Linked DNA regions of Bombyx mori. The protein of the gene in region 1 interacts with the protein of each later gene in a biochemical or structural test. Links are inferred from orthologs where the notes say so. Each region holds a gene or a part of one and is shown in the gene's direction. Other genes may lie near its edges.

The links.
Region 2: the proteins of nuclear pore glycoprotein p62 (region 1) and probable nuclear transport factor 2 form a complex in vitro, tested with the Homo sapiens proteins (3 studies listed by BioGRID). The link is inferred for Bombyx mori from reciprocal best matches to the Homo sapiens genes NUP62 and NUTF2.
Region 3: the proteins of nuclear pore glycoprotein p62 (region 1) and importin subunit beta-1 form a complex in vitro, tested with the Homo sapiens proteins (2 studies listed by BioGRID). The link is inferred for Bombyx mori from reciprocal best matches to the Homo sapiens genes NUP62 and KPNB1.
Region 4: of the proteins of nuclear pore glycoprotein p62 (region 1) and UDP-N-acetylglucosamine--peptide N-acetylglucosaminyltransferase 110 kDa subunit, one has a biochemical effect on the other in vitro, tested with the Homo sapiens proteins (2 studies listed by BioGRID). The link is inferred for Bombyx mori from reciprocal best matches to the Homo sapiens genes NUP62 and OGT.

Annotation. Positions count from the first base shown.
Region 1 is NC_085134.1:6,723,551-6,731,310, forward strand, and holds the end of nuclear pore glycoprotein p62, read left to right. Parts: coding exon 1-727; intron 728-1,600; coding exon 1,601-1,685; intron 1,686-2,263; coding exon 2,264-2,435; intron 2,436-2,797; coding exon 2,798-2,973; intron 2,974-3,820; coding exon 3,821-3,932; intron 3,933-4,825; coding exon 4,826-4,984; 3' UTR 4,985-6,106; downstream 6,107-7,760. UniProt on the Homo sapiens protein: Essential component of the nuclear pore complex. The N-terminal is probably involved in nucleocytoplasmic transport.
Region 2 is NC_085116.1:12,785,497-12,794,053, forward strand, and holds probable nuclear transport factor 2, read left to right. Parts: upstream 1-2,988; 5' UTR 2,989-3,131; intron 3,132-3,220; 5' UTR 3,221-3,246; coding exon 3,247-3,354; intron 3,355-3,789; coding exon 3,790-3,861; intron 3,862-4,434; coding exon 4,435-4,533; intron 4,534-5,844; coding exon 5,845-5,958; 3' UTR 5,959-6,519; downstream 6,520-8,557. Other genes in the region: U4/U6 small nuclear ribonucleoprotein Prp31, read right to left, coding at 167-309, 644-848, 1,024-1,159, 1,233-1,427. UniProt on the Homo sapiens protein: Mediates the import of GDP-bound RAN from the cytoplasm into the nucleus which is essential for the function of RAN in cargo receptor-mediated nucleocytoplasmic transport.
Region 3 is NC_085110.1:11,423,550-11,431,001, forward strand, and holds the end of importin subunit beta-1, read left to right. Parts: intron 1-312; coding exon 313-493; intron 494-648; coding exon 649-908; intron 909-1,315; coding exon 1,316-1,502; intron 1,503-1,592; coding exon 1,593-2,734; intron 2,735-2,820; coding exon 2,821-2,991; intron 2,992-3,159; coding exon 3,160-3,282; intron 3,283-4,122; coding exon 4,123-4,419; downstream 4,420-7,452.
Region 4 is NC_085129.1:5,334,609-5,343,040, reverse strand, and holds the start of UDP-N-acetylglucosamine--peptide N-acetylglucosaminyltransferase 110 kDa subunit, read left to right. Parts: upstream 1-3,469; 5' UTR 3,470-3,814; coding exon 3,815-3,956; intron 3,957-4,791; coding exon 4,792-5,002; intron 5,003-6,478; coding exon 6,479-6,662; intron 6,663-8,432. Other genes in the region: protein inturned, read left to right, coding at 805-957, 1,226-1,331. UniProt on the Homo sapiens protein: Catalyzes the transfer of a single N-acetylglucosamine from UDP-GlcNAc to a serine or threonine residue in cytoplasmic and nuclear proteins resulting in their modification with a beta-linked N-acetylglucosamine (O-GlcNAc).

The DNA of each region.
Region 1 (7,760 bases):
AGCTTCGGTACTACTACAGCCGCACCTGGTGTAGCTTTTGGCACGTCTCCAGGTCAAACCACGACCGGGCTTAGTTTCAGTACACCATCCACCAGTGCGACCAGTGGTCTTAATTTTGGCACCGGCGTTGGATTCGGCACAACTACACAGAGTGCAACACTAAGTTTCGGCGCACCGACAACACAGACCACCGTAACTCAACCTTCCACTGGGCTTAGTTTCGGGGGGCAGACTTCTCAGGGCTCAGCGACCGGGCTTGGTTTTGGCACGGCTGCTACAACCGGGTTAAGCTTTGGAACGAGTACGGCAGCGGCCGCAACGACTTCGGGGCTTAGTTTCGGTGTAAGCTCAGCACCTAGTACTCAGGCAGCCGGGCTTAGTTTTGGTGTCAGCTCCACACCAAGTACACAAACAACAGGGCTTAGTTTTGGCGTCAGTTCCACGCCGAGTACACAAACGACAGGGCTTAGTTTTGGTGTGAGTTCAACGCCAAGTACGCAAACCTCTGGTCTGGGATTTGGTGTCAGTTCCGCGCCAAGTACGCAAGCGACTGGGCTTAGTTTTGGTGTCAGCTCCGCGCCAAGTACCCAAGCTACCGCGCTTAGTTTCGGGGTAAGCTCGGCCACTACTCAGCCACCGAGCACCGGAATCAATTTTGGAACTGGTACATCAGCCGGATTAACCTTCGGAACGAAAACTGTTACCACGACCGCTGTTTCTTCCGCACGTAAGTCATGCAGATGATAAACTAATTAAAAGTATTTTTTTATTTATTGTATTGATTAGTGCGATTTTCGGACTTCCACAAGTTCTTGGGTAACTTTTGTGAAGATCTTTTTTCGGAGATTTCAGTTTCTTGATAAATTATTTTTATTTAAAGGAAACGTATAAATGGAGGTAGAAATTACAATAACCTTTCAAATCGTCATTTTTTTCTAATATATTGCGTGCTACCAATACAATACCAGTGGATGCCATGGTCTTCCCTAACTCTTTTAGCCAATTGATAACATTTTCCCCTTCTTATTTTTTTTATTGCTTAGTTTGGTGGACGAGCTCACAGCCCACCTGCTTTTAAGTGGTTACTGGACCCCATAGATATCTACAACGTAAATGCCGCTACCTTGAGATATGAGTTCTAAAGTCTCAGTACAGTTACAACGGCTGCCCCACCCTTCAAACCGAAACGCATTACTGCTTCACAGCAGAAATAAGCAGGGTGGTGGTACCTGCCCGTTTGCTAAGAATATGTCGATATTCTCATTTCTTATCGGGTTCTGATCAATTATTACCTTACTTGCACTGAATAATCTGAAAATATTAGTTATGTTCTTTCGAAATCAGATTCGTTTTAATTATATGGTACTTATATAAGTATATACACTTTTGCTATGATGATATAGTTAAATACCATAAAATCTCTAGTTTATTCACCAAACATTGTCCAAGGATACTTTGATGGCGCTAGCACGGCGTTAGGGCGTGAGATTTGACAAGAAAGTGTTATTAACCTTTGTGCGTTTTAAAATGTCATTGTAATCAGTGTCAGATATCGCTGTCAATGTCATTATTAAAGTTTGTAAATTTCGTTAAATTTCAGCATCCACTACCACCCCGTCTGGCATAACGGCACTGGGAAAAACCACAGCTTCGACTTCAATAATGCCCACTTTGACTGCAACAACGTGAGTCGATTAACACTAGCTTATAAAAAGTACAGTGTGCTTAGTGAGAGTTTCTTAACGTTCTCGATAGCGTAAAAGTTAAGCCAGTTTTGTATGCAGTCGGAACAGCGCCCCTAGCCACAAACGTATGCAAACGATCCCACTCCATACAAACATGACCTAACTTTTACACTATCGAGAAAGTTAAAAACCTCGAACTAAGCACACTGTTTTGTGTCAGATCATATTGCGCTTATACAAAAGTAATATTTTGTGTTAGATTATATTGTAAGCTTGTATAGGCAAGGACCTTCAACCTGCTTAGTTCTGCTGCGAAGCTTGAGCTCATTCCAATGTTCAATGCAATAAAAAAAATGGCACTGCTATTTACATCCACTTTGGAATGGAACGGACTTGGTCTTAAATGAATCTAATGATTCCTTATGCTACAATATTGAGACATAAAAACATCTGATAATTAAGTAGATTTGCTGCAAAGCATAGATGGAATTCATACCATATTAGACAACGAAAAAATTTGGAATGTATCAAATATCAGTTTTGTCTGGGTATATGATGGCATCATTTTAAATTTTTAGTACTGCAGCTGCACCAGTTCCACCTCAACCGATAACTTCGATAACATTTGCACAATTAGAGGAGAATATCAACAAATGGACCTTAGAATTGGAAGAGCAGGAACGGACGTTCATCAACCAAGCTACCCAGATTAATGCTTGGGACACATTACTAATAGCGAACGGAGAGAAGGTATGATCACATTTTTTTAATATTTATACTATACTATTATATATAAAATTGAATTGCTGTTCGTTAGTCTCGCTAAAACTCGAGAACGGCTGGACCGATTTGGCTAATTTTGGTCTTGAATTATTTATTGAAGTCCACAGATAATAATTTTGTTTTCCCTTTGATGTGTCCCCCGTCGGATGGATTCCTTTTGTTTAAGTTTATTTTATACTAGTTTAAGTATTTTATTTATCGATTGAGGCACTACGAAGTCTGCTGGGTCAGCTAGTTCAAATATAAGAGAGAAGCAACCGAGAATATTCTGCTTTTACTTTAAAATATTCAGGATTATGACTCTTTTACAAGTAATGCTTTTTCCACAGATCGTAGAACTAAACGAAGCAGTCGAGACCGTTAAAAACGAACAGCAATCACTGGAACATGAATTAGACTTTGTACTGGCACAACAAAAAGAATTGGAAGATCTATTAGGACCGATGGAGAAACAGTTACTGCAAGAGAACAATGACCGTATCAAAGATCCGGAAAGAGAACATATGTTAGTGTTTTTTTTTTTTTGCATATAAATATGAATCTCAATTACAGAAGAAAGATATTATTATATAATCATGATTATAAACAACAATTATGTATAATGAAATAATCGTCTATCAGGTTTTACTGGTGATAGGACCTCTTGTGAGTCCGCACGGGATGGTACCACCACCCCGCCTATTTCTGCCGTGAAGCAGTAATGCGTTTCGGTTTGAAGGGTGGGGCAGCCGTTGTAACTATACTGAGACCTTACAACTCTTATCTCAAGGTGGGTGGCGGCATTTACGTTGTAGATGTCTATGGGCTCCGGTAATCACTAAACACCAGGTGGGCCGTGAGCTCGTCCACCCATCTAAGCCATAAAAAAATTATCATGTCCTCAAATGACGTCACACCTAATGATGCAGATTTTAAAAATCAGCTGTATACTGAGGCATTCACACTACAAAAAAAATAATTAAAATGTGTGCAATTCACACGTGGTAGAAGTGAAACCTTCCAAAATTAAAATACAATTATCCTAAACGTCTTAAGTATATGTAAAATTTTGTCATTAGTAAATAATTGTAAGGTAGCGCCCTCTGTGAATTGATATTTTAATTTCACGTATAATCCTAAATTAAAATTCACTACAAGAGCTTTCATACACACATTAGTATTAAGAAATCTCACAGATGGCGTTGTATTAAATAGTATGTATATTTCTGTCTCATTCTTTCCTGGCTTCATCCTACACATTTTTGTATTTGTGTCTCTTACCTGTCGTTTTTTCCGTTGCATCCGGTTTGAAATCACAACGATTCTAAAGAAGTTTTCACTTCAATAATAATTTTATTTCATTTCGTTACTAGGTATTCACTAGCCGAAAATTTGGATTCTCAACTACATCAGATGTCCGAAGATTTGAAGGAAGTTATAGAGCATCTCAATGAGACAAACAGAAGTCAAGATGGCAACGATCCAGTAAGTGATTGTTTTGATTAAAAATGAAATTATGCTTCCTTAAAACAGATTTTCAAGAACTTTTTATGAAAGCTTCTTATTATTTCTACGTTAAATGTTACGAGCCGCTACTGTCTTATTGCTGGTAGCTTAGGGCCACTTATCTATATATATAAAAATGAATTGCTGTCGTTAGTCTCGCTAAAACTCGAGAACAGCTGGACCTATTTGGCTAATTTTTGGTCTTGAATTCCTTGTGAAAGCCCAGAGAAGGCTTAAAAGGTTTAAAAGGTTGGATAAATATGAAAATGCTCGGAATAATTTTGTTTTTCCTTTGATGTGTCCCCGACGGATTCCTTTTGTTTGTTTTAAGTTTATTTTATACAAAAGTTTAGGTCTTTTATTTCTCGATTGAGGCACTATGAAGTCTGCCGGGTCAGATAGTTATTCATAAAAATTTGCTCTAAGTAAAAGAATAAACAGTAGTTTAAAAAACTAAAAAATACGCTTGTTGAATTTTCTATAAAAGCGTATTTTTTCGTTTTTTTAAACTACTATTATTTTTATTTTTCATTTTTAAGTTGGAATTTCAATTATTTCAACTTTTTTTTTAAATATTGTGTTGTCATCGGTCCTTAATAAGTATCGCAAAATTCGAGTTAATCCGACGTTTTGAAGGGGGTCAAAATCATGTTCAAAGATTCCGTTACATACTTACATAGATACGTCTGAAGCTAATAAAAGCGTATAAAAAAATTAATACATTCCACTATAAAAGTTAATACATTTTTGAGCTTTTAGATTGAATAGTACCCGGTATTTTGAATATCGAAAAGAAGTTGAATCTCTACTTATGCGTATTGAACTTATGCATATTAAAATTACTCGAATAACTCAAACTTTTTCTTTTTCAGATTGTCCAAATCGGTCGCATACTAAACGCTCACATGTCGTCGATGCATTGGATAGACAACTCCATAGCTCAGATATCCAATAAGCTGGATCAATTGAAGAGCGTTCACGACACGCTCAGGAAGGATAACGAGAGATCATTTCAATTGACTTACAATTAATCTGTTTTTATAATATGTATACGGTTGGTTCAGTTTTGTGATTTTTGTCGATTGTTTCTGGATGTCATTGTTAATAATTAACACGTTGACTGATATGTAGGTCACCGGTGCCCTACGCGACGCACTGAAGTAATTATGGCGATTTCTCTCTTAGATCTTCTTAAGGCGCCAGAATATCTAGTAGATTCTGGGAAAGACCAATCCGAAGATACTGAGAATTAACCTATTCATAAAAAATACTAAAACATTAAAAAACAAAAGAAGGCAAATCGACATAATTTCTTTAGTGCGCCGCGTAGGACACCGGTGACCTACAAGGCAATTAACGTGTTAAACACGCCTACGAGTACTCAGAATGTTTGTAAACTGTAATAGAAGAATATTTGTAATACAAAATTAGTTTTACTGTTGCAGTACTTAAAGTTGTGAATAATGTATGATTAACTAACGAATACAGTACAATGTTGGACTTTTAAATGCTTAGAGTAGAATTCAATTATAATTTAAATGCACGTATAATTTATTTACATTCCTCATTATACTATTTATGATGCATGTCTATGTGTCCAAAAACACTTCACATTACGACGGTACCTAAATGTACTATGAGGATGAAAATGTGAATCAAATATTTTCATGAATCCCTTGTCTTTCGTACTATCAAATGCAAGTTCGCGATCAAACTGCATTATTACTATACATTATATTTTAGAAAATTGAGTAACATGGGTTCAAAGAATTTTAATTCAAATCACGTAATATGTTGTTACCCAAGCAAACAAACGAACATAATTTGATTATATAGATGATTAGTGTGCTTAATGTGAGTTTTTTAACGTTCTCGATCGCGTAAAAGTTAGCTCAAATCTGTATGGAGCTGGAACGTTTGCCTACGTTTGCCGCTAAGGGCGCTGTTCCAATTGCATACAAATTCGAGTTAACTTTTACGCTATCGAGAATGTTAAAAACTCGCACTCAACACACTGGCCAGTGACGAGGCCAGAAATGAAACACTCAAATAGTATTTAAAAATGAATGTGTCATTTATTAAAGACGTTAAAATGTTTTTGTTATGGCAACAAAATGATTCAATAAATAAAAATAAAAAATATTAAGTACCTATATAGTTTTTTTGTTGTTGTTATCAAGTCCATCGATTTATTTCCCTCTACTCTATTTTTGCTGGCCCATTTTGACAGACTGACTATCGTCTCACAAATAAACCAAAGACTTAGGAATGTTGATTGGATTCAAATAAATATTAAATCCGATTGAAGTGGACCGCTCTCGAAGCCCGAAGCTATTTTCCAAGCATCTTTGATGACTGCGAGAGAACGTGAAATACAAAGGACAATGCCCAAAAGTGGGCCAACTTTATGTCAAAACTATTTGTACTTGAAAAACTATGCCTTATTTTTTCACGTTGTTTAGTTTATGTATCAACATTTCTTTCAACCTGGCATTGTTTTCCAAAAAAATTAATTACTTAATTGATAACATCTCAAAGCTATCCATGCCATAGTTTTTAAATTCGCCAATAGGCAAAGGGCTTAGCCCATACAGCCTTATAGCAAACCTATATGCTGTCAAACGAAAGAGTTGTTTGTAACTTGGACAACAAATTAAAAAAAATTAGCTAATGCTTATAATTCACAGGCTTCTTAGTTTATTTTTGTTCAATTCAATATTTATTGTAATAATAATTATTACTTAAAACCATGAATTATTTAATATTTTTAGATATTAATGATTCCATTAGTAAAAATATCAATGGCCTACCATTACTCTATTCTTATTATATATGATCAGAGAGTGTTGGCAGCAACCCGAGTGAAGCGTCACTTGAATTTTTATTTTAATGTTTTTTAATAGTTTATTGTGTAATTTGTATTATTTGTATTTGTAATATTGTGTATAAAAGGTCTGCGTAAACTCATGCTCAGTCAATGTGATATTCGTCGAGTTGACGTCAAAACTCCCAAAAAGCAATAAAAAGAGATACACCATATTAAGTGTATAATCTATGGATACACCGGCTTTTTATTGACATAAAAAATATATAACTTCGACAGACTAGGCTGTATAGGCTACGCTCTTTGCCTGCTTATTGGTGAATTTTAAAACAAAACAACAATATCGTTGCCGGCTTCCGGATTTTCATTTCATTTTATCATTATTATGAGGATATAAATAAAATGTACGTAAGGGCTTATTTCTAGCAACATTAACCACAATTAACTTATTTAATACTGTAAATAATTATGAGAGCGATTATTGATTTCGAAGAAAACAATTAACAACTTAATTTTAGCTGCAGAAAAAAACAGATTTCTCAGCCTGGGTGAGAATATAAAATCGTTTTCTGAATATGAAACGATATTTCTTTGTCTATCAAATTAAGTTAAAACCATCATGACAGGACAACTTTTTTTAGGGGCCCAAACGCCCATAGAAAATGGGCATTGTCCTTTATGACTGCGTCTAATTCTATAAATAACTGATTACGACACATAGAGCTACAGTCGAATCCCATCGCCAAAGAAAAATTTGTGATGTTCACTCGTTATAGATTTGTTTTATTTAAAACCCGACACGAAAACCTATTTCAGTACTTAGTTTACAGATACATATCGACGCTTGAAAGGCAAACGTGACTAAGTTAGTTAGTTAGTCTACTGTAAAGTTCACGCATTGTCGCTTAGTCACTTTTGCCTTTCAAGCGTCGATATATATATTTTTTTTAATGATTACTTTCACCAGGATAGGTGGGCGAGCA
Region 2 (8,557 bases), on another chromosome or scaffold:
AAGAGGCATTTGGTCCTTCTAATACTCTGCTATTTTGGAAATTATATGATGAGGGGAATAATTGCAGTTGGCTAAGGGTGATTGCACAATTGTTACCACTAATCGTTTTGGGAGTGTTAAATAGAATTTATATTAGTAATTATAGGCAACAGAATGTATCACTTACCAACAATGGCAGTTATGTTTGGTGCAATAAAAGTCATTCTACTTTCAACATACTCATATATTTGCGATTTGAAATTGTTCAGCTCACTTGCCATATCACAGGCCTCATTGATTTCTTCTAGTTCAATTTGGCTTAGTAATTTCCTGTCAAATGATTGAGTTGTTTAATAAGTAACTATTTTACACAAAATGTTCATCAAAATAAATCTTCAAAGTCCCTGTTTTGTACTCTAGTCCACTATAATAATTTAAATGAATTTGAAATGTTGCATTTCTACATTTTTATTTACATTTATTCTTTCTTCTTCCTAGTCGTACAGTCTTAACAGAGTGGTTGTGGTCATGTATCAGTCGAATTCTGCGATACCAATGCTCTCGCGTTGCAATGACATGTGGCACGATGTTTCTCAGAGTGAGTGCATTGATTTATATTAGCAAACAAAATAGACCACAAATAGAAAACAAATAAGAAGCTAACCCTTGAGTTGTAGATGCAGTAACAGAAACAATCATAATAGTGGCCTGAGTAAGAAAACTCTGTAATATTTCATTATTCTTAGCCCTGTCCAAATCATTGCCAAGTTCTTTCACTGTCCTTATGTATTCCAATGGAGTGATGATTAGAGATTCCAATTCAGGAAACCGTTTCTGATATTTGTCACGGACAAATCTGTGAATAATAGCTGAAAATTTGCATTTCTTGACTTTAATATTGTAAGCAGTAATAATTAGACAACCAAGATAATAATTTCATGAAAAGAGAACTATTAACACTACGTTCAATCATAAAAGTTCAATTCTCTGAAACTGTTTTAATAAACAAATCAACACATGAAAAATGGAGATTGGAATGCATACCTATTTCACCATCAATTTCAACAGCAACATTATTTGCTTCCACAATCAGTTGATACTCAGGGTCAGACTCCATTAAGCCAGCAACTTCAACCTTATTTCTGTTATTTCCAGCATTACATTCTATTTCACTCATAACCTAAAAGTTGTTTACATGAAAAATTGTAATTTATATTTAAACTGTTCTTCAAGAAACTTTATTAAATACATACACGTTTCAGACGATCAGAATATCTTAGTTTCGCGAGTTCTCTTATCGAGACATTCTTGATTTCTTCTTCTTTAGGTAAGACGGGATATGGAACTGCAAAGTCGTATTCTTCTTTGGTTTTGCTCTCGATAGCAGCTTCGAGTTCACCATCGTCATTTTCTTCTAAATCAGCAAGTAATTCGTCAGCTAGAGACATGCTTCTGTAGAACTAAATTGATTTTCTGAGTGTTAAGTTTATGTGTGAGCTTGTTCTGTTTCTATTGTATTCTGTAATATTCTACAATTATTACAGTTTTTTACTCAAATCGACTTTCACAGCTATACAGTATATTTCATTTAGTATACATTATAGATATTAATTTGATTTTTTAGTCAGCGATGTCATTAAACTTCAATAGTTTGTACCCAAAACTAAATGATTTACCTACCTATGTACCTACGGCGACTAATATTTGCAATAGTTAATTTGAAAAGTAAACAGAAATGACAGTGACAGTACGGTACTTGACAGTAGTAAGTAGTACCGTACCTACCTAGTATGTAGTAATTCCATTTTTCCAAGTATAAAGACGAAGGTATCATACGATATGTTTATTCATAAATTATAGATTCTCTTTCATGGAAATGATATGAAGCTAAATGAATTTAAGTTGATTAACTGGAGATATTCATTAATAGAGATGAAATTAAATGAAATAAGATGAGATGATATGGGATAAAATATAATCTCAGTAAAATAGTGGTTAGATATTTATTAAGACTTTTCAGTGAACTTTTCAGTAGATCCCGAGAAGCTGCGCCCAGCAGTTTTATTTCATTTTCCCACATTTGTGCATATTCATAAATACTAAATAGTTCATAATTAACCACCGTTATTACACATTTAAACCTAAAGAAATACTAAATAGACAAATTAAAACAATTCACACAACTTCGCTCTTCGCGTTCCCGCCAAAAGGTCTCACAGGACGGTGACTTTTGATTGTTTTTTACAATTTAAAAAATACTGAAAGCTGTAATGAAATAGTCTTGGTTTTTTTTTTAAGAATTGAATCAAATTTATGAAGATTTGGAGAAATCGCAACATAAACAAAAAACTAAGATAAAGCTCATGAGAACCCTTATCTTCTCCATACTCTCGTACGCTTCTGAGACGTGGACCCTCAAGGCCCGTATCCGATTGAAAATTGACGCATTTGAAATGTGATGTTGGCGCAAAATGTTGGTCGTATCATGGACGGAGCGCCGAACAAATGTATCAATTCTCTCGGAGCTAAACGTCAAGACCTGTCTATCTACGATCTGTATGCAGCATCTCCTCAAGTACTTCGGACACGTGACCTGACGAAATCTTGACAAATTGGAAAAAATAATAATTGTAGGTCACGTGGAAGGAAAGAGAGCTCGAGGAAGATTGCCAACCAGATGGACGGACATTGCCAAGGAAGCCACAAACACCAGCGTTCCGGGTGCCATTCAGCAGGCCAAATGCAGGCAGCATTGTAGGAAACTAGTGCAATTAGACCAAGGTGGTCACGACTCATGATCCACAGTAATGAGGAAGCGACGAAGAAGAAGAAATGTACTTTTAATCTGAAGAATTACGTGGATCAAGTTTGACTTATTTTCTAATAACAATTGAAAAATATATTACAGGATTTTCCTAAAAAGTACGTCAGAGCATTAGATTTTAATACTTTTAATCCATAATAGTGGAAACAGCTCAGCTTTAGTAGAAAATAGTAGTGTTGTATGATCTTATACCTCTTAGACACTACATTCAGAATCATTAAAAAAAAATATGTCATAACTGTCAACAAGCAGAATAAATTTTCAAGCCCCTTTTCGTCAGTTCGTCACATCTTGAATTTTTCGGCTGGAATTGGGCTTTTTGTTGGTGGTGTGTAGACGCCTAATATTTAAATAAAGTTAAGTGAACACCTTCCTATTCAATTTTTTAGTATATTCAAAGATATCAATCTTTTACAGTGACAAATAGACACATCTTAATCTAAATGGCGCTCAATCCGCAGTACGATGCAATCGGTAAAGGTTTTGTGCAACAATATTACACATTGTTCGATGATCCGGCTCAACGGGCAAATCTTGTTAATATGTACAATGTGAGTATTATTACTGTACCGTTATTTTTATTATATTATGGTTATCTTCCCTTCTCTCACATTTTGAAAATAGTATTTTACAATTTAAATTTTGTTTAGAGGTTAACGTCTGGTTTTACCGACTGCGAAACTCGGCTTCTCATATAAAGCAATTACGTAGAATTTAGACTGAAGAAACGATACAAAGCCTCTATTTTAAGTGTAATTTAAATATGTCCTTTTTAGAATTGTGTTACCATGTGTTAGTACAATTTTATTCTAGATCTTTTAAGTGATGTATTTGTTGATGCCCACTAGGGTGAAAAATTGGTGTCAACTGGACATTGCGATAAATTTTACTTTATACCCCTTTTTTAACAATGTTGTATAAACATTTAAACATAGTTGTTTCAGGACTATTGCTTGTTAAGTTATTAATAATGACTTGTCTTGCAGGTTGAAACTTCATTCATGACCTTTGAGGGAGTACAACTGCAGGGTGCTGTTAAAATTATGGAAAAATTAAATGTGAGTAAATAAGAATTTTACCAATTTTGAAGATATTACACTAAAAATCTTCTCTAACACAATCAAAAGTACAGTTATGTATTTAGGAACAGTGCTTATATTTACAGGTTTTGTTTAGTTGTTATTTAACTGAATTTTTTTTTGTATACACTAAAATTTTCATTCTGGTTTCCTCAGTAGTTCTTTGTATAACTTTTTTTATACCTACTTTGTAACATTTTTTTCCTACATATATACATAATTTGTGCTTGTAACAATAATAGTGTAGTTATTGTTATTATGTTATATCTCTGTGTTAAGGCCATCCTGGTCGTAATAGTGGAGTCTATAGGCATTACAGATTTAATGTTACCACCTTTATTGTTGAGACATGAGATCAAAGTCTGTACTGTATCTAACTGTATCTGATAAAATTACTGCTACTAAGAAGCTATATAATCCATGTTGCTGTTTTTGACCAGAAGGCATCTATTGTGGTAGAGCAGCAAAGGTAGAATTGTGGAAAAATTGTCGTTAGGTCTATCACTTTAGAAATAACCTTATTTTTAATAAAAATGAAAATTAATATTACAGAGTTTGACTTTTCAAAAAATCACTAGAATAGTAACTGCTGTGGATTCCCAGCCAATGTTTGATGGAGGCGTTTTAATTAATGTCCTTGGAAGATTGAAGGTAAATAGTAAATATAAATCACCATTTAACTTTATGTGTTTAATTAAAAATATAATTGCTTTATTTACCTAAACAGGTGAATCACATAATATAAAGTAAAAGTTGTTTATAGTAAATACTATAAATTAATTTTATCATTTAATATCATCTTTATTTAAAAAAATTTTTATTTACGTCATTTGAAATACAGTATATTTTTGTGGTAATGTATATATAAGGTGTTTTTTGTCTACCTTTGAATATTTTTCTAACTGCTAGCTTTCTCTAAAATATTTCTTGACAGTGATGTCTTTTCACACACAAACAACTATCTTAAGCTCTGGCAGTTTGTTTGACTTGGGTTTTCGTAGTCACGAGAATCCTAAGTGTTAATTAAGAGCCAATCATTTTCTCTGTAAAATTAAGGTATTTTAAATTTTATTTTCATGACCTCATATACTATATGTGTAACTAGCTTTCTTTGGTCAGTATTTAGATTCAAATTTAACTGAATGGTTAATAGAGCTGTCTAGCCCATGTTAATAAACTGCGAGCTTGTGTATTCAATAACTCTTAATGTCTACAATGTGCTCATTAACTGTAACCTATAAATCTATATCTGAGAGTGCACATTTAAAATCCTGTTTATAAATACCTGGATCCTGCAAAGTAAAACTGCATTTTAGTCTTGTAGTAGTACTAGTAGTTTTCTTTACGCACACCAAAATATATTGCCAATACTTTCTCTAACTTCTTTGATGTAAGGCAAAAACCTTGGAGCCCGTTCTACTGGCTGGTTTCCTTATGAATGAAAGATTCCTTTGTAGCGCTATATTTTAAAGTTATTTAATATGAATCCTTACAACAATTATTTAGAGATGCCAGGCTGAGTGTTGGGTTGGTAAAATGCCACACATTCGTTTGTATATTGCCTGGTTGAGTTTGTGTCTGTGACGAGAAAGGAGACAAATTTTTAGGAGTAGGTATGAGGTTATCAGTGTATGGGTGGATACTCAAATGTAAAGTTTTATTAAAAGGTACGAAAACGAAAAACACTTAGGAAGCGCTGCTTTATACATACCTATGTATCTGTTAATAAACTTTAATAATTATGTTATCGTTTTCTATTCAAAAAATTAAGAAGGGTTCTCATGTCATTTGGAAAGAATTTGTAATATAGCAAAGTTTCGTAAGGTTCTGTATAATCTGTAGACAACAACAACAGATCCAAAAAGTTTTCAGGGTCTAGATGCATTATTCCTTAACTGACTATACGTAAATTTTGTAATACTACAGGATTCTAATTTTAAATTGTTTATTTTTTATTTTCAGTGTGACGAAGATCCTCCACACCTATACATGCAAACGTTCGTGTTGAAGCCACTCGGAGATTCATTTTATGTTCAGCACGACATTTTCCGTTTAGGCATCCATGACATAGCTTAGATCACAAGGACAGACACAACACGAAGAAATGCTTAACTTGAAATTTGATATAACATACAACTGTTGAATCAGAATTCTTGACATTTGGTACACATTATATTTTTCTTGTATCTATTTCGTCAAAGAATTTATGAAATTGAAAGGACTAGACGATTATGAAATTATGATAATGATCGATTTAGTGATCGAACAGGGTAATCTAAAATGAGAATTTGGTTTTCATTACACAGAAAATGGAGATAAATTGTTACATGTTTGTAAACGAACAAATTATAAAAATGAAAAACCGCTTTCATTATTGTTACCCTTGGAGATAATGCGATTTTGGGTTACGCCATTCTTCGAGTTGTCAATTATACTTTTAAATATCAATAACATACAAACACTAGTTTCATCATGCTTCTCAAGTCTGTTTGGTTATCTAGGTATATAAGTGCTATCAAAAATTGTGAATAGCTGTTACTAAATTTGGCATCTTTTTGTGCTTTATTTAACGTTGCTACGAGAACTCTTTGCATTATATGTAAACATTTTATAACAAATACATTATAATTTTCTACACGGTCTTGTTTATAATAAATTTTTTCCTACCTATTCTAGTAACCACGAGGGGTTATTCTAGATTCGCCGAATTAGTAAGTGAGTTCACGGGGCTCAAACCTGATGACGTTGCTAACACAAACCCTAGCAAGAGCCGCGCTTCGCAGAATCTACCACCGGATCGGAAACGCGACCCACTGAGAAGATCCGGCGAAGAAACTTAGTGGGCTGTCTGTGGGTTAACTCGCCGGTTACTCGCCGAGCCTTTCGTGGCAAGCGACGGGTTCGACGAGAATGTTGGTCGGTGCTTGGGATACCTAGAAGCACCGTTAGTGGATCGGGAGGATCCGAAATGACGTTGTTTAGACACCTTTAATACAATTTCACGTGCCCTGCTGTTACGGTTGAAAAGTAGTAGTCTTAATATTATTAAGACTAACAATCATTAAGTTAATGTGTTCTGCGGGTTTCGGGCGATGCCATCACTTGTCTCCAAACCCTTCTATTTTAAGGATGGCATACATGTGATGTTCGATCTTCTGTAACCACATAGCACTAGGCTTAGGTGTTGACAAGCTGGTTTTTCCATCCCAGCTATAAAAGAGCAGATTTTTACAATATAATCTCATGTCAACATTATCTAATCATCGATGCTAAGCTTAATTCTACGAAACTGTTCTCTTTCTCCCGGTTAATCTGTGATATAACATTATTTCCAAGAACACTTTGTCGAAACCCTGAAGAAATATACACCCCAAAAAAAAAAGCTCTTTCCTTACCGGTTAAAGATTATCTCGACTGCAATGCGTTTGTGGATATTTCATCGGATTTAGTTGAGCTTTATTATAATGTTCTTGAGACTTCAGTGTAAGTTAGTCTCAGTAGTACTTAACATTGTTGGCCACTTTTTTGCCTTACTTTGCTAGTTACCTCGAAGCGTTATGCGAGCTTCACCCAAAGTGTAGGTAAGCTCACAGGGCTCAGTCTGAAGACATTGCTAACACTAGCCCTAGCAAGAGCAGTGCTTCGTTGAATTTACCACCGGATGTTATTGCTTTTGGCCACAGTACAGTGTATCAAGAAAAAAAAAAACGAAAATAGATGCTAAGACAATCAATATATTATAAATAGTCAAAAAAAAAAATAACAAAAAGAACCACTGAAAACAGGTACATTTTTTACCGATCTCAGAATTATAAGACTCGCTTCTTCCATTAAATCCTTAGAGGCTACGAACACTTAACAAGTTTTTAGCATGCACTACAAACGACACACAGGCCACCACGCCACGATGGCCGACTTGTCTAAGCGAATGACTAGGTTGCAGGTGATACTTTCGTTGCTTTGCTGGCCACAAACGTGTCTTTATTGATTTAATTTTTGTATTCCCGTAAGTCTTTAGCAGTTTTGAATTAACCACAGATGTGTGGTATGAAAGGTTGCCATGTTATAAAAGTAATAGCCTGAAAATGTTTATGGTCTGTGTTCTAGGGACATTTTTTTTTATTTTAGCTTTTCTTTTCTTCGTCCTTGTTTATATATAAAAATTTGTTACGTAACACATATATTATTCTTATTTTCCGTGTCGAAACTACGATACATAAAAAAATCGAGGTTCACATTATTTCAACTGGCTACAAACATCGTAAAATTACTATTACTTATCAAAAAGCGTTTGTTAAAATAAGAACAATATCTTAAAAATACGTACACTTTACTCTGAACGGAGCGGATTTGGTTAGTTTATTTTGCATGTAAAAAATATGGTATCGTATTTTTAAACTGCTAAAATGACACAGTAGAAAATGACTATGTAGTGAGTAAAGTACTACAGAGCAGAGATCAAACAAGACATGGCAAGACCGTTTTGGCCTCGTTTAAATGAACGTGTTTTGTAGACAATTCCTAGAGTTAGCACTGTTCCGTTAAGATAATAATAAAAAAAACACAACCAGTCATATCGTAGCTTCCCAGATCGTAAAAAAAAATCATAAAAAATCAAAATCAACATTTTTGAATCGTATATTACTATTTTAATCATAAAAATCTTACCAAGTTT
Region 3 (7,452 bases), on another chromosome or scaffold:
AATAATAAAAATATATATAATATTATCTCTAAGCTAAATTGCTCAATTATTGTCTAAATAGCAATTCCCTGTATGTCTTACTTAGATTAAAATTAAAATTAGTAATAAATATAATTTAACACAACACTAATAAATACAAACACACAAGACATCTAAAACGTAATTACGCCACCCATCTTGAGATACAAGTTCTAAGGTCTCAGGTATAGTTATAGTATAGAGCTTGAACTAATGAAGGTGGAGAATCTGATAAGTTCCATCAGGTGTAGGTAACCAAGTTATATTTAATTTTAATACTAGTTTCTTTTTTAGATATTAGCTGCTATAGGAACAGAGAATAGTCGTCCAAGTTCAGCAGCACAGTGTGTGGCGTATGTGGCAGTAGCTGAGCTCCCAGTAGGACAATGGAATGATCTAATACCAATTCTTGTAGAAAATGTTGTTCATGTCCAATCTACTGAACTCAAAAAGGAAGCGACTTTGGAGGCTATTGGTAACTGAATGAACATTTGATAGTTAAAAGAGCTATGACAAATTATGTTATATAAATAAACAAAAAAAAAATTACAGTTTTAATTGTGCTTTATAACTAAAGGCAAATTGCTATTAATCTCTTTAACAATACTGATGTATTTCTTATTCTTCTAGGCTACATTTGTCAGGATATTGATGCTGAAGTATTAACAGAAAGAAGTAATCAAATTCTTACGGCCATCATACATGGCATGAGGTCAACTGAACCCAGTAATCATGTTCGACTAGCTGCTACTCAAGCTTTGCTCAACTCTCTAGAATTCACCAGAGCGAACTTTGAAAAAGAAAATGAAAGAAACTTTATTATGGAGGTTGTCTGTGAAGCCACACAGTCTAGTGACATGAGAATCAGCGTTGCTGCTTTGCAATGCTTAGTAAGTTTTATAAATATATAATGTGAATCCAAGTATTATATTTAAAATTAAAATAAAATACCACCTTAGCTACCACATTAGCTTTCTTCCCATGAAAGTAGAAAAAATTATATACCTCAGGAATATTACTTTTTTGTGGATAGTATCCTTTTATGTCCTTTTCTGTACTCTTGACAGCATTTATGTAAAATTTCATAATTAATGATTGATTAGTTAGATATGAAAGTGTATGAATTACAATTTATATTAATATTACATTTACTCAGTTATAAATTTATAATATTAACATGAATAACAAAGCTAAGACTTATTTTTTGGGATACCAGCTATTGACATGATTAAATTTAAACAATTACTGTATTAATTAATTTAAAAAATAGTTTTTAATCAAACAAAATTATCTTCAGGTGAAAATTTTATCACTTTATTATCAACATATGGAACCTTACATGGGACAAGCTCTATTCCCCATAACACTTGAGGCTATGAAATCTGATATTGATGAGATTTCATTACAAGGTATTGAATTCTGGTCCAATGTGAGCGATGAGGAAATAGATCTCGCAATTGAAGAAGCTGAAGCAGTTGAAGCAGGTATGAAAGTGATACTTCTATTCTCCTGTTGTGTTTAAAAAAATGACTAAGTATAAACTTTCTAAATTCATTATTACTTCAAATTCACAGGTCGACCTCCAACTAGAACTTCACGATTCTATGCAAGAGGGGCACTTCAATACCTTGCACCTGTCTTGATGCAAAAACTAACAAAACAAGATGATTCTGATGATGAATTGGAATGGAATCCGTCAAAGGCTGCTTCTGTTTGTCTTATGCTTTTGTCAAATTGCTGTGAAGACGAAATTGTACCGCATGTGTTACCGTTTATTAATTGTAACATTAAAAGTGAAAATTGGCGATACAGAGAAGCTGCTCTAATGGCATTTGGTTCAATTCTTGGTGGTCTTGGAGCTAACACTCTGAAACCATTAGTGGAAAATGCCATGCCAACTTTGATTGAAGCGATGTATGATTCTAGTATAGCTGTAAGGGACACCGCTGCTTGGACATTTGGTAGAATTTGTGAAATTGTCCCTGAAGCTGCTATCAATGAAACATATTTGAAACCATTATTAGAGAGTCTTGTAAATGGTTTAAAAGCTGAACCTAGAGTTGCAGCTAATGTTTGTTGGGCATTCACCGGTTTGGCAGAAGCAGCATACGAGGCAGCGGATGGGGGTGATTCTAATCAGCCAAAGACATATTGCATGTCAAATTATTTTGATTTCATCGTTCAGAGATTACTTGAAACAACGGATCGTCAAGATGCTGCTCAACATAATTTGAGATCAGCTGCATATGAAGCTCTAATGGAAATGGTCAAAAATTCGCCCAGTGACTGTTATGTCACAGTCCAAAAGACCACTATGGTTATACTTGAGAGACTCCAACAAGTTCTACAAATGGAAATACATGTTTCTAGTCAAGCTGACCGTTCTCAATTTAACGACCTCCAAAGTTTATTATGTGCTACCTTGCATTCGGTTCTAAAAAAAGTTACTCCTGATGATGCTCCTCAAATATCAGACACAATAATGACTGCTTTGTTAACTGTATTTGCAAGTAATGCTGGAAAAGCAGGCAGTGTTCAGGAGGATGCTCTGATGGCTGTTTCTACTCTTGTTGAAGTCTTAGGAGAAGAGTTTTTAAAATACATGGATACATTCAAAAAATACCTTTATACTGGTCTTAAAAACCACCAGGAGTACCAAGTTTGCATTGCAGCTGTAGGATTGACTGGTGATATCTGTCGCGCCTTGAAAAATAAGGTCAGTAAAATCTATTTGACAAACTTTATTATCAATTTATTATCTGTCAGCAATTGTAATTTTTTCGTTATTTATTTTATTTGCAGATGGCACCCTATTGTGATGAGATAATAGTTTTGTTATTGGAGAATTTAGGTGATCCATCAATTCACCGATCAGTGAAGCCTGAAATATTATCTGTATTTGGAGACATTGCTTTGAGTATTGGTAGCGATTTTGGAAAATATTTTGATGTCGTCATGCAAATGCTATTGCAGGTATGTCTGTTCATAAAGGGTCGAAAGCTTAGCTATAAAGTGCAGTAGTTTGTCCTGGGTAAATCAATCCTGTACTAAATGAGGACATGTTACATATATTGGGATACCAAGTTAACGAATTTTATAATATTGTCTGTCTGATAACATTTAATAATGAAATGATTGCAGGCTAGTAATGCTCAAGTGGACCATAACGACTATGATATGGTTGAATATTTGGGTGAACTCCGCGAAAGCGTTCTGGAAGCATACACTGGAATCATTCAAGGCCTTAAAGGTGTAGGTTCTCAGGTATGTTACTATAGTTTCTTGAATATTGTTGAGATTATAATATTATGTTCATTGGAAATGTAGAATATTTGTAGATATGTTCCTACGATAATTGCTTAATCTGTAAAAATAAAGTCATAATGTGATACCTAGACTAAAATCTATTATTGGCTTTGAAGGTGTTGTATTGTAACTACACACAATTTATCACAAATAAACATTTTCTTCCATTCAACATGGGAGTTTTCGGATTGCCGCCATACATAGATTGTGGTTCTAGAAATTTTCTAAGCTAAATTTCCTTGTCAAATTAGTGATCCTGACTTGGAGAATAATATCCACCAATATTTATGTAAAAAATAAATCACTCCGAGGCTATAAGTAGATGCCTGGTGCTTCACCATAAAATCAGCAAACAAAAATATGTACAACAAACAAATAACAAGAAAATAATTAATTGGTATTGATATTCTTCGATTAATTTGGCTGGTGAAATTTATTAAACAAATAATATATATGCTTACTTAAACTTTAAATACAGCTTCCTTAAAATTATTATTTACTAGCTGACCCGGCAGACTTCGTAGTGCCTCAATCGATAAATAAAAGACCTAAGCTTTTGTATAAAATAAATTTAAAACAAACAAAAGGAATCCGTCCGACGGGGGACACATCAAAGGAACAACAAAATTATTATTTTTATATAATTCCGAGCATTTTCATATTTATCTACCTTTTAAACCTTCTCTGGACTTCCACAAATAATTTAAGACCAAAATAAGCAAAATCGGTCCAGCCGTTCTTGAGTTTTAGCGAGACTAACGAACAGCAATTCATTTTTATATTATTATTTATAAACAGGTACGACCGGACATCGCTATCGTCGAGCCGCACGTGCCGGCGATCGTTAACTTCATGATTCAGGTTGCGAACGAAGAGGACCGCACCGACGCCCAGATGGCGGTCATATCGGGGCTCATGGGCGACTTGACTAACGCGTTCGGGGCGCACGTGCTGCCCATGCTCGACACCAAGCCGCTCACCGACATGCTGCAGGTGGCGCGGCGCTCCCGCGTGGCGCGCACCAAGACGCTCGCCAATTGGGCGACCAAAGAGATGCGTCGCGTCAAGCAGACCCTCCCTCTTGCCAGCTGGTAATTATTTCACTTTCAATACTTAGACCGAATGGCCTAAAGGTCTAGATACCAGGCCATAAATGAAAAAAATAATAATACTTAGACCGAACTTCCACAGACATTAGAATTATTTATTTACTAGCGACCCGCCCTCGCTTCGCTTCGGAAACATTAAATTTTATTATTGATAGCTGAGTCCCGCGATGTAACCCGCGGTTATTGACGCACCACGGGTGACGCCGCGAGGCGAAGCTAGTCTAAAAAAAGTAGCCTAAGTTACTCCTTATATCATCAGCTAACTTATCAGTGAAAGTCACGTCAAAATCGGTCCAGCTGTTCCAGAGATTAGCCGGAACAAACAGACAGACAAAATTGTAAAAAAAATGTTATTTTGGTGTACCTATGTACCGTATTTCCTATGCATGTAGTAAAAAGCGGCTATTTCAATATTACAAACAGGCACACCAATTTTATTTATATGTATAATAGATTTATTACACTTCATATAAAATTTACATTGGCGAACTTAATACCAAAGGCATTCTCTACCAATCAACCAAAGGTAGTGCAGAGTAAATCGTGGTTGGTAATTATCATACTTTACGAAACAAAACGTCTGTTTGATTCATGACAAAAATAGGCAGAATAGTGGTACTTGCCAACCAGTGCGGATTGGATCAGAACTTTTAAATTAATAATAACGCCCCCGGGTCCGTCAGAGTTTTGTACGAGAACTATATAGATGACTTATTGAGAGTATGCTTAGGAACTTCGTATTGATCGAATTTGTGCTGAATCAAACTTGGTCTATCACAGATTAAATTTTTATAACCGAACACAACAAACGTGTAGTTTTACTTTAAATATTCAACCTAATAAAATATTTGAAGTAAAAACCTTTATTCACGGTGTTAGATTTTTTTCAATCGAAATATTGCTTTAAACGGTTTTCTCATTCTAAAATCATCAAAGCCTTATATAATATTTTCAATGCATCATATTTTTCTAACAAATCTCTAAAATCCTGGTTTTTTTTTATTGCTTATATGGGTCATAAACAGTCATAAGTTTCTATACATCTGAGGCCCAGAACTCTTCCGCTCATATAATTAAAAAAGCCAGGAACCGAGGATTTTTATAATTGATGGTTTGAGCAACCATGTGGTTCCGCCAGCATTAAATTTCAAAATTATCTGACTTTGACTACAAAGAGAAATATTTCACAATTAACCATCAAAACTCATCGAAATTCGAGATAGGTCCAGTAGGTTTCGCGTAAAATAAACCAATAATAACGCCGTTGTAGACAAAATTTAGCTTCAATTGGGTGGGATTCATGCGATATTTCTTTTTTTTATGTTGCTTAGATGGGTGGACGAGCTCATAGCCCCTCTGGTGTTAATTGGTTACTGGAGCCCATAGACATCTACGACGTTAATGCGCCACCCATCTTGAGATACAAGTTCTAAGGTCTCAGTATAAGGTATATAGTATCAACAGCTGCCCCACCCTTCAGACCGAAACGCATTACTGCTTCACATAGGCGGGGTGGTGATACCTACCCGTGAGGACTCATAAGACGTTCTACTACCAGTAATGACGCAAATTATAATTTTGCGAGTTTTCTTTTTACTACACGATGCTATTTCTTCACCGTGGAAGACAATCTCAACATTTGTTAAGTACTTATTTCATTACAAAAATTGGTACTTGCCTGAGAGATTCGGAATCCGGTGCATCACTAGATACGAATGCACCGGAGGTCTTATCATTTAGGCCACGACGATTTCAGACACATAGCCTTAAAAACATATATTTAATAAATATATTTTTGTCTCAATCAATTGTTTTTCACAGATTTGGAATTACCGACCACAGCATTGAAACGCAGCTTGAAACAACATACTGCTGGTAAAATCAATTTTTGAAGTCAGGCAAATTATAAAGTCCATTTAGTAAATAAATCGATAAGTGCATACATCGTCAGTTTGTACGTTTCGGTCAGCATGTTAAATATTAGTCTTATGAGAGAGTATGTTCTTATTGTTAAACGCGCTAAATGTTAAATTGCAGTTATTAAGTACTATTGTGTCCTAATAATTTATGAAAACGAAACTTCGTAGATATTTAAACAAATTTAAGTAATAATTGATAGTATCTATGACGTATTCACACAAAAATGCACTTATCGTTTCATATATCACATAACTAATTATGTATGCCTGGCTATATCTTTCCATGATAATCTTGAAAGTTAGAGCATTTTCCTATTCGGTATTATAAATACAGACAGTGGCTGTGGTATGTTTACTTATGTGAGTTAAAGTGTTCTTTTGGAAGTTGACGTATGAAAGATGATGTATGTTACTTTAGGCATGCACATGTGCAAGGTATTGTGAATTGTATAAATTATTAATATGTTTTGTAAGATGTATGAAAGGAGGAATGTATGTGGTTGTCCGTCGTTGATGTTGGTAGCATAGACGATGTGTGGTATGCGAAATAAAAATTTGGTGTAATAAAATATGTTTAAGGTTCTCTCGACATTGTTAGAGACAGAAGGACGCCTTATTGGTTGTGATAACTTATCATTCACCACAAAACATTTGAGAGCAGCAGCGTTGGATGGACCATTAATACTGAATGATTTTTATACAACTTTAACTTTTAGGTCTTACTGTTTTTATTACGAATCTATATTATTAAAAACGCTCAAATATGCTAGAAATTTAAAAATATTTTAGCTGCAAATACTGTGTTAGAAATTCCCCACATTAATTGCGGAGTAAAGAATTTTAAGCTAGACTCACCTTAAGTACATCCTATTTAAATGGTTTAATTTTTTATGGTCTGTGTGGAATAAATGGTAAAGTAAAAAAACAAAAAAAGACTTCAATTTTATTACTATTGGTATATTATAATTATTTCATTTAACATTCGTTGTGAGCGACAAATAGTAAATACCTATTTATTGTCTTAATAAAGTATAGTAAAACGTTAATCATTAACAATCCATATTCAATTATAACATTTTGATCTAAATTTTATTAAAATT
Region 4 (8,432 bases), on another chromosome or scaffold:
GGTATTCAAAGACAAAATTATGAATGTTGAATCGGTTTACTTCCTTCAATAACATAATGTTCTCTGACGAGGCTCATTTCCATCTTAACGGGCATGTTAGTAAACAAAATTGCCGCTATTGGAGCCCCATCAATCCAAAACTTAAGCATCAGAAGCCCTTACATAGTCCGAAAGTGACTGTTTGGGCCGCTATGTCAGCCCATGGTATCCTAGGGCCTTACTTCTTTGAGGATGGCAGAGGGCGCGCAGTTACTGTTACGTCGGAGCGATATGTGGCTATGATCGAAGAGTTTTTCATACCAGAATTGCAAAACTTTTCAGGCTTTAATGCCAGGACGTGGTTTCAACAGGATGGGGCCACTTCTCACACCTCTAACACTGCTATGCCCGTTATCCGTCAACTTTTTCCTGGCAAAGTTATCTCTAAGAGAGGAGACATTTCCTGGCCTCCACGTAGTCCAGATCTGACCCCGATGGATTTTTTTTTGTGGGGCTACCTTAAGGCTAAAGTATACGACACAAACCCGCGGTCAATTGAGGCCCTAAAAGAAAACATCCGCAGAGAAATGACAAGCATTTCAGCAGTGACGTGCCGCGCAGTCATCGACAATTTTAGACGTCGTTTGCAAGAGTGCCGTGATCGCAACGGATTACATTTAGGAGATGTTATTTTCAAAAAATAATTCCCGTTTTTTAAGCTTTTTATGTAAATAAAAATTTAATTCATAATGTAATTAGTTTTATTTTAATAATTTTTTTTTCATATCAAAGGACTTATGGGCCACCCTGTATTTCAAATTACAGGTTCAAAAGGAATCACGCTCCAGTGAATCCATTAAACAAAATTCTGGTTGCAGTTAAAGAATATGGAATGCTATTTCAAGTTCCACAGGATGTATTGAATCAATGCACTTCCAGCAGGAAAACCAATGAAATATTTAAATTTTGGGTTGTGGGGTAAGTGGGGCTTTTTAAAGATCGTATTAAATAATGCCTTATTTCAGCAAAGACTATATAAAAGCTTTTTACAAGCAATCTTATTTTTTATTGAATAAAAAAACAACATTATTTTTAAAAGCTTCGATTATTTTCGTCTCGACCAATTTACGTGAATACAAACAATACAGCAAGTTACATTAAAATTTATGTTTCATTATGAGTGAAAATGGAGGAAAAAAACTTCAATTTGTAGAACTTAAAAATGAACGCATATTTTGATTTACAGACGTATCTTCAGTGAACCTGAACCGAGAGAGTTGTATATCTGCTACCACGAATCAATACCACAAGACCTGACTGAAGTTGGATATATGCTATCTTATTTGGAATGAAATTTGTCTAGAATAACGAAATAATCATATTAGTGATGAAATGAATCCGTCCTCCTTTTTTACTAATAAAGTTAATGTGCGATGTAAAATGTGTTGTGATTGTGTGTCAATAAAATGTCTCCCACTTAAAGCTACTAAACCTCAAAGTAATGTGCCCAGAATAGAGTGATGTGATCATGTTGGAGTTCCAGTTCTGCAATGACAGCTGGTAGCTACATAATCCATGAACTCTTCCAATCCCAGCATTTCGAAAAATATGTTTGTGTCTCCCAAGCGAAGACATACATCGCTTGTGTGCCTAAGATTGAGGTATGGAGGGCAGAGGTAAGGAGAATCGTCTGGTATGAAAAAGTGTCCGTTAAAATCTGCTAAATAAGGGTGGCGCTACAGTAGCAACCGGGTAAATTTTAAAAAAAGCGCTGAAAGTTATTAGAATAAGATAGAGAAATAAAAAAAGACGAAAGAACTGTAAGCACTACAAAATCACAAAAAGTATTTTATCTAAGCTGATAAAAAAATGCAATCGATGTCTCCACGTTTTACCACAGCAATAATTTTAGCTTATATTAACGAAATTAGTTTGGACTATGTAAACATGTGAGGTCTTGTATATTACACTGTCACTAACTACTCTAGTCATTAAATATATTAAATTTCCTAACTCAGCACACTTCAATCAGTTAACAACTGCTCAATTCATATCATACCTGGTGCCTATGCTAGCGCCATTTTGGAGCATTTTTGAACTGTTATCTAGTACTGAAAGTGGGACACTTTTTCAAGCTTCTCCCATATAAGATGATTCTCCTTACCTCTAGCCTCCATAGATTGAGGATAAAAGATTTAAGTAATGTGATTAAGGTGTCTATGACAGTCACTGGTAGACGATAGAATAAATTAATTATTTAATTATTTTTACCTCGAGGTCTCAATAAGTTCTATTTTGAAAAGTAGGACAGTGGTTGTTGTATAGAACTCAGACTACAACTCGCATATAAAGGTGCATGGCGGCTTTTACGTTTTTTATGTCTATAAGTTCAAGTAACTGCTGAATACTAGGTGGGCCGTAAACTTGTTCACCCATATAGGCAATAAAAGAAATCAAATTAACTATTATTATTACTGCTATTACTATTACTAGAAAACTATTTTTTGTTTAATTTAGCTAATTTAGTTTTGTAAAAGTACCTAATCTAACATACCCCAGTTAATAGTCTTAATGATATAGGGAAAAGACGGTGTAATAAAGATGATAATGCACTAAAAAGAAAAGGGTGCGTGTACTTATGTACGCGCGTAAGAAGCTATACTTTATTTTTATTAATTTTTTTTTAAAGATGAATAATTAATAATAAATATTTAACGTTAATAATTTAATAATATTTAGTATGATAATAATACTTTTGTCATTTATATTACTAAAAAATGAATGCTAATAACACTTTTTTTACGAGTGTACATGCGCTAAAGTTCACCTGCGGCTATATTCAGACTCGCCAAGTTACGTCGGTCGTATTGTAATGAGCGATTTAGCGGGCAACTTCATTTCTGTTAATATTGTGTCACGGTGCGCGCGCATAATAAAATTTCACTCTCATCAATTTTTCATAACGCGCCTAAAGAAGTATAACTTAAAAAATTGCAATTTGAGAATTTTACTACCATGAATAATTGTGAACAACAGTACTGAATTATAGAGGTTAGAAGAATTATTTATCCACTGGCAGTAGGTAGACAATTCATGTTGTATAACTAATCGCTGGCATTAATTGTTCATAATCGTGATAATTTGTCTCTGAAAAGTTCTGAATGATGCATTTACCGTTAAAAAACACCGAGGTTTAAATAGTATGGTAAGTCTAATTCAAATACATTGATAAAAAATAAGTCTAAAATAATGATTTTTTGGTTTCTAACATGCCGGTTTCAATATTTAACTACGATAGTTTTGCTCCATACACATTATTTAATTGAGGATCAGAAAATATTGAAGCAATTTAAGTAAACAGTTAGATAAGAATCTTGCATGCCATTAATGTCAGCTTCTAGTTTACATTTTTTGAAGTAAATGGGATTTTTTTAAAGTTGACATCACTTTGTATGAGTGTCTATAACAAGGACTTGGCGTGGCATTACTATTATTTTTGCCATTGAAAAAAACATGCACTACGACGATTGCCGTACTAAAAAAATCTGAAGAAACTGAGCATCCGCTTAAATCATTTATCCAATTTTATTCGTATCTCAATGCCATAAAGACTATAGTAGTATGTTTGTTCCATTATTGACATCATATTGACAATTCGACAATTAAAAAGTTATAGGATGTTTCCGCTATCCGTCGCGTCGTTGGGATTTGCAGTTTGCACTTATGAAGTAAATTTAGCTAGATTATACATGGAGATTAAAATCAGTAACTATTTATTACTTACAAATGTTTAGTGATTTATATGTGTGCCTGTGATCAGTCTTCAAATTGAACGATGATAACAAAAATGCAACCGCAAGCAAATGTAGCAGTGCCACAGTCTGTCACGACGCAACCCCAAGCTCAGCAAATCGTCGGTGTGCCTGCAAATGCTGTGATATTGAAAATGTCGGACTTACAACAAATATCTACTGTGGGTAAGTCTCTGGAAAGGTTTAATATTGAATTAGTTAATATTAAGTATTACATTTTGTCTGGAAATTTGCAAAATTTGCAAATTGGTGCCTACATAGTATGGTATGTCATGTTAGAGTAATGTCTCTTGGAATTTTTTGTACACGTCTTGTTTAAAATAGCGATGCATTCATTTACTGATTCGGATTACTCACGTATTTATAATATTAATTTATGTTTCTAAGATTTAAGTGAAATCCTTTGAAAAAAGCCCGACGCGCTATTCATCAATGACTAAAATGACCAGAAATATTTTAGGTTCTCATTGCTTTTTTGGTGATTAAATTGCTGCCTATTATAAACTTGTAGAAGAATCCTTTGTCTAATGAAGTATCTGGGATGATTTGACATGTTTAGTTACATGAATTTACCTCTGCCTCTTTGTTTCATTAAAAGGCTTTGTTGCCCTCATTGAGATTAGTTTATTGAAATCTTAGTATATTTTGAGCAGTAGATAGGTAGAGTAAGACTCCAAAATTTAGATAAAAATAAACTTTTTGGATTGTATTTTCTAAATCTCTATATAAATTGAATAGCTGTTTGCTTTCCTTTCATCAATGTAGGTTTCAATTACTTCCTACAATAACTGTATTGTCCTGTTCAATATATGTAATGTAAAACTATTATTTTAGCCTAAATGCTTTCAGAGAGGTAATGAAGCCACTGAATTATAGAAACAAATAAAACACTAAATCACTTCTTCTACATTGATGGGAAATAGTTACTTGCCAAACCCACAAACAATTGATAATAAGATCTCTTATACTGGGTATTTATTTACTTTTAATTTTGCCTTAGGCTTACTTGAATTAGCACATCGAGAATATCAAGCTGGTGATTATGAAAGTGCAGAACATCACTGTATGCAGTTATGGCGCCAGGACAGTACAAACACAGGGGTGCTACTCCTACTCTCGTCTATACATTTCCAGTGTCGGAGACTGGACAAGTCTGCTCATTTTTCCACATTGGCGATCAAACAGAATCCTTTGTTGGCTGAAGCCTACAGGTGAGGAAGAGCACTATATACTTTTATGTATTTCTCCTATAATTTAAAGGTTTGTCTTGAATTCTTAAAAAAATGAAACCTTTATTACTGTATAATCAGTTGTTCTGTATTTCGAGAATCAATTTGGAACAAGTCCAAGTGATTTGTGACCATTCCTATAATTTATAAAATAGTTTATAAAAATAACTGTTTGCAGTGTATTGTAATGACAGCTTTGAGAGACAAGACACGTGTCTCTGTCTGGCTGTGAAAGTTATTTAGATCATACTTTAACTATAACATATATGATATTGTAATGTATAGAAAGTTTAAATTAAATACAAGTTGGAAATATTGAATTTCTAATTTGCTTCATTTCACTTCACTTTTACCTTAACATTTTATTAATAATAAAAATGGACTAAATGAAAGTGCTAATAATAAAAATCGTTTATACAATAAAGATTTATACAATAAAATAAGTTAAATCCAGCGATGTGCGCATGATGTAGTTTATTTCATTTGGTTAATACAAAAATTATGTATTGCTTATTAAGGATACATACAATACATACATTTTTTGTTATAAGAAAGTTTACGGACAGTTTTCGCTAAAAATATTTAGTATTTTGAATACTTTTTTGTCAAAATAAAGTAAATTTGGCACAAACAGCACATTAAAAATTTGGAGCAACTACTTATTTAGGACAAATGTGGTGTATGACCTTGATTAATTAATTGCTTAAATCATTAACATTCACTGCAATAAATCTAATTAGTTGATTAACAAAAATAACTCATTTTCTATGTGGAAACATGTTTCAATTTTTACAATAATTATTAAAACTACTGGTACGGTTTAATCTCCTGTTTTCATAATCAAGACGTATAAGGCTGAGAAAATAATTCACTAATTCACAAATGAAAAATCTAAAACATTTTGTAATACTGTAAGGTACCTAGTACCTACTACCTAGTAATAATTTCTAGATCTTCTGTGTCAATGTTATTATAAATTAAAATTGTCTATTGTTTTAAAACTACTGAAAATTAGGAGATTTTTAAATGAACAATGTATTTGGGTTAAAATGGTGTCTTCTTTTTTTTTAAGCTACCTCATCATGCTTTTTAACTAACAAGTTTTTGTCATAAGTACATTCAAGAACATTCATATATTTTAAAACAGAATTGTTTATAAAATCAGACACCCGGCTCATAATCAATTCAAACTACAACACATGCTGAATAATGTTGAACTGTATAACTTAAATTTAATATTCAATAGTCTCAGGGTATTATTTTCTCAATCATTTGCACTCTTAGTAGAGAGGTCGTGATCATCATTTCGGGTTGTGGTATATCTAGTATTCCAATACCTAACATATTTAATAATCACACTGACTCCGATAATTAATCGAAACAGGATCCTATGGTGCATACACGAGGATCACTAGCCTGTTTGTAATGATCATAATTTGTCTTTAATTTTTCGTGCAGCAACTTGGGCAATGTTTACAAAGAACGCGGGCAGCTTCAGGAGGCGCTGGAGAACTATCGTCACGCTGTCCGTTTGAAGCCGGACTTCATCGATGGATACATCAACTTGGCTGCGGCTCTCGTTGCCGCCGGCGATATGGAGCAAGCTGTGCAGGCTTACGTTACCGCACTGCAGTATAACCCTGTGAGTATGTAAAAGTTTTTAAGGGATGATTCTAATCAGTATTATTTGTTTTCCATGTGGGCGGGCACATGCTGATATTAATTTTATTTCTTACTATCTGACCCGGCAGACTTCGTAGTGCCGCAATCAATAAATAAAAGACCTAAACTTTTGTATAAAATAAATTTAAAACAAACTAAAGTAATCCGACCGACGGGGGACACATCAAAGGGAAAATTACGACCATTTTCTTAATTATCTACCTTTTAAACCATCTCTGGACTTCCACAAATAATTCAAGACCAAAATTAGCCAAATCGGTCCAGCCGTTCTCGAGTTTTAGCGAGACTAACGAACAGCAATTCATTTTTATATATATTGATAACATGAGCTATACATAATGTCAAATGAATCATTTGTTATTTGTTTTCCTGATGGCTTGGAAAATTTCATACGATTTTTTTGTTAACATCGGTAATTATGTGGTTGCAGCTCATTGGATATCTCGTCATATCGATCGTCTACCATTGTGACATGAACTATTCAATTTCAAATAAGACAAAGTATTTTTGAATGAAATTAAATAAGTGAAACACACAACGCGTATTGTTTGCTTCGAAGTGAAAGGAGTATGCTCTAGTTTAGCTTAATCTAAGCATTTGTATTGTATTATGTATCCAGCAGGCAGTGGTAATTTTAAACCGTAATTCGTAAGATTCTAAAAAGGCGAGTAAGCCTTTTTGTAAATATAATTTAAATTTTATATTATTTTGGATATATTTACGTGTAGACCTTTAGTATTCGACAACTAGTATTCGTTGATTCATAGGAATAAGATACGAGCATTATTTAACTGTAGAATATAACGCGTATTGCACACTGATAAGAATAAATTAAAAACAATAATAAAATTGCAAAGGGTCAATAAGGGACAAGTAATTTTTCCTGAATATTCTTGTAAGACAACCACTTTATTCAAGAAAATGTAGACAGTTTATAAATGAAACGTTGATTAAAAGCTCAAGAAAAAAGTTTGCAGCGATGTATTAATTGACTTAACTACGTAGGAATATACATTCACATCCGCTGTTAAAAAGAAAACGATTGGTTGGAAATATACCTGAGTGTTGATCCCCAGTGAATCAGCTACCCCTGCAATGCATTCAATGCCTGCTACGTTACTATTATTACCATGTTTTTACGAAGCCGGTTTTTGAGAATAGATTTTGAACTCGATGGTACTTTTCAATTGACATATCCTCACCTGGCTTCTATTATAAATGGATAGTTTAAAAAACACGTTAAATTCGTACTAAATTTTCTTACTTCCTCACCCCAGTGCGAATGTCAATACTCACTCACTTTTAATGTCAATATAGTTCGTATCAACGTTCTTATGGAAATTAGAATATAACGTGACGTATATTCACAAGCGCTTGTTTGAGTAACATATTAGGATAATTACAAAAAAATGTTGATATGTTAACAACAAATTGTAATCTTCAATAAAAGCATTTAATAGGCGAGATTCTACTTTACTTTGATTTTATTTTACTTACTTAATTATATTGTATTGCCAAAACTTAATATTAAATGCAATATCAGTCTCTCATTGTTTTATGCACCAGAGTCAACGTACTAAAGTGAAAAAATAAAATATAAAATAATATGATTTTCTATGTTTAGTAATTCAAGGCGGTCGATGTAATTTCTGTTTTAATTGTATTTTACAACGGTCCCAAACTTCAAACGTCACCATAATTTTTTTTATCTTCCCAATTTGGCAGAATG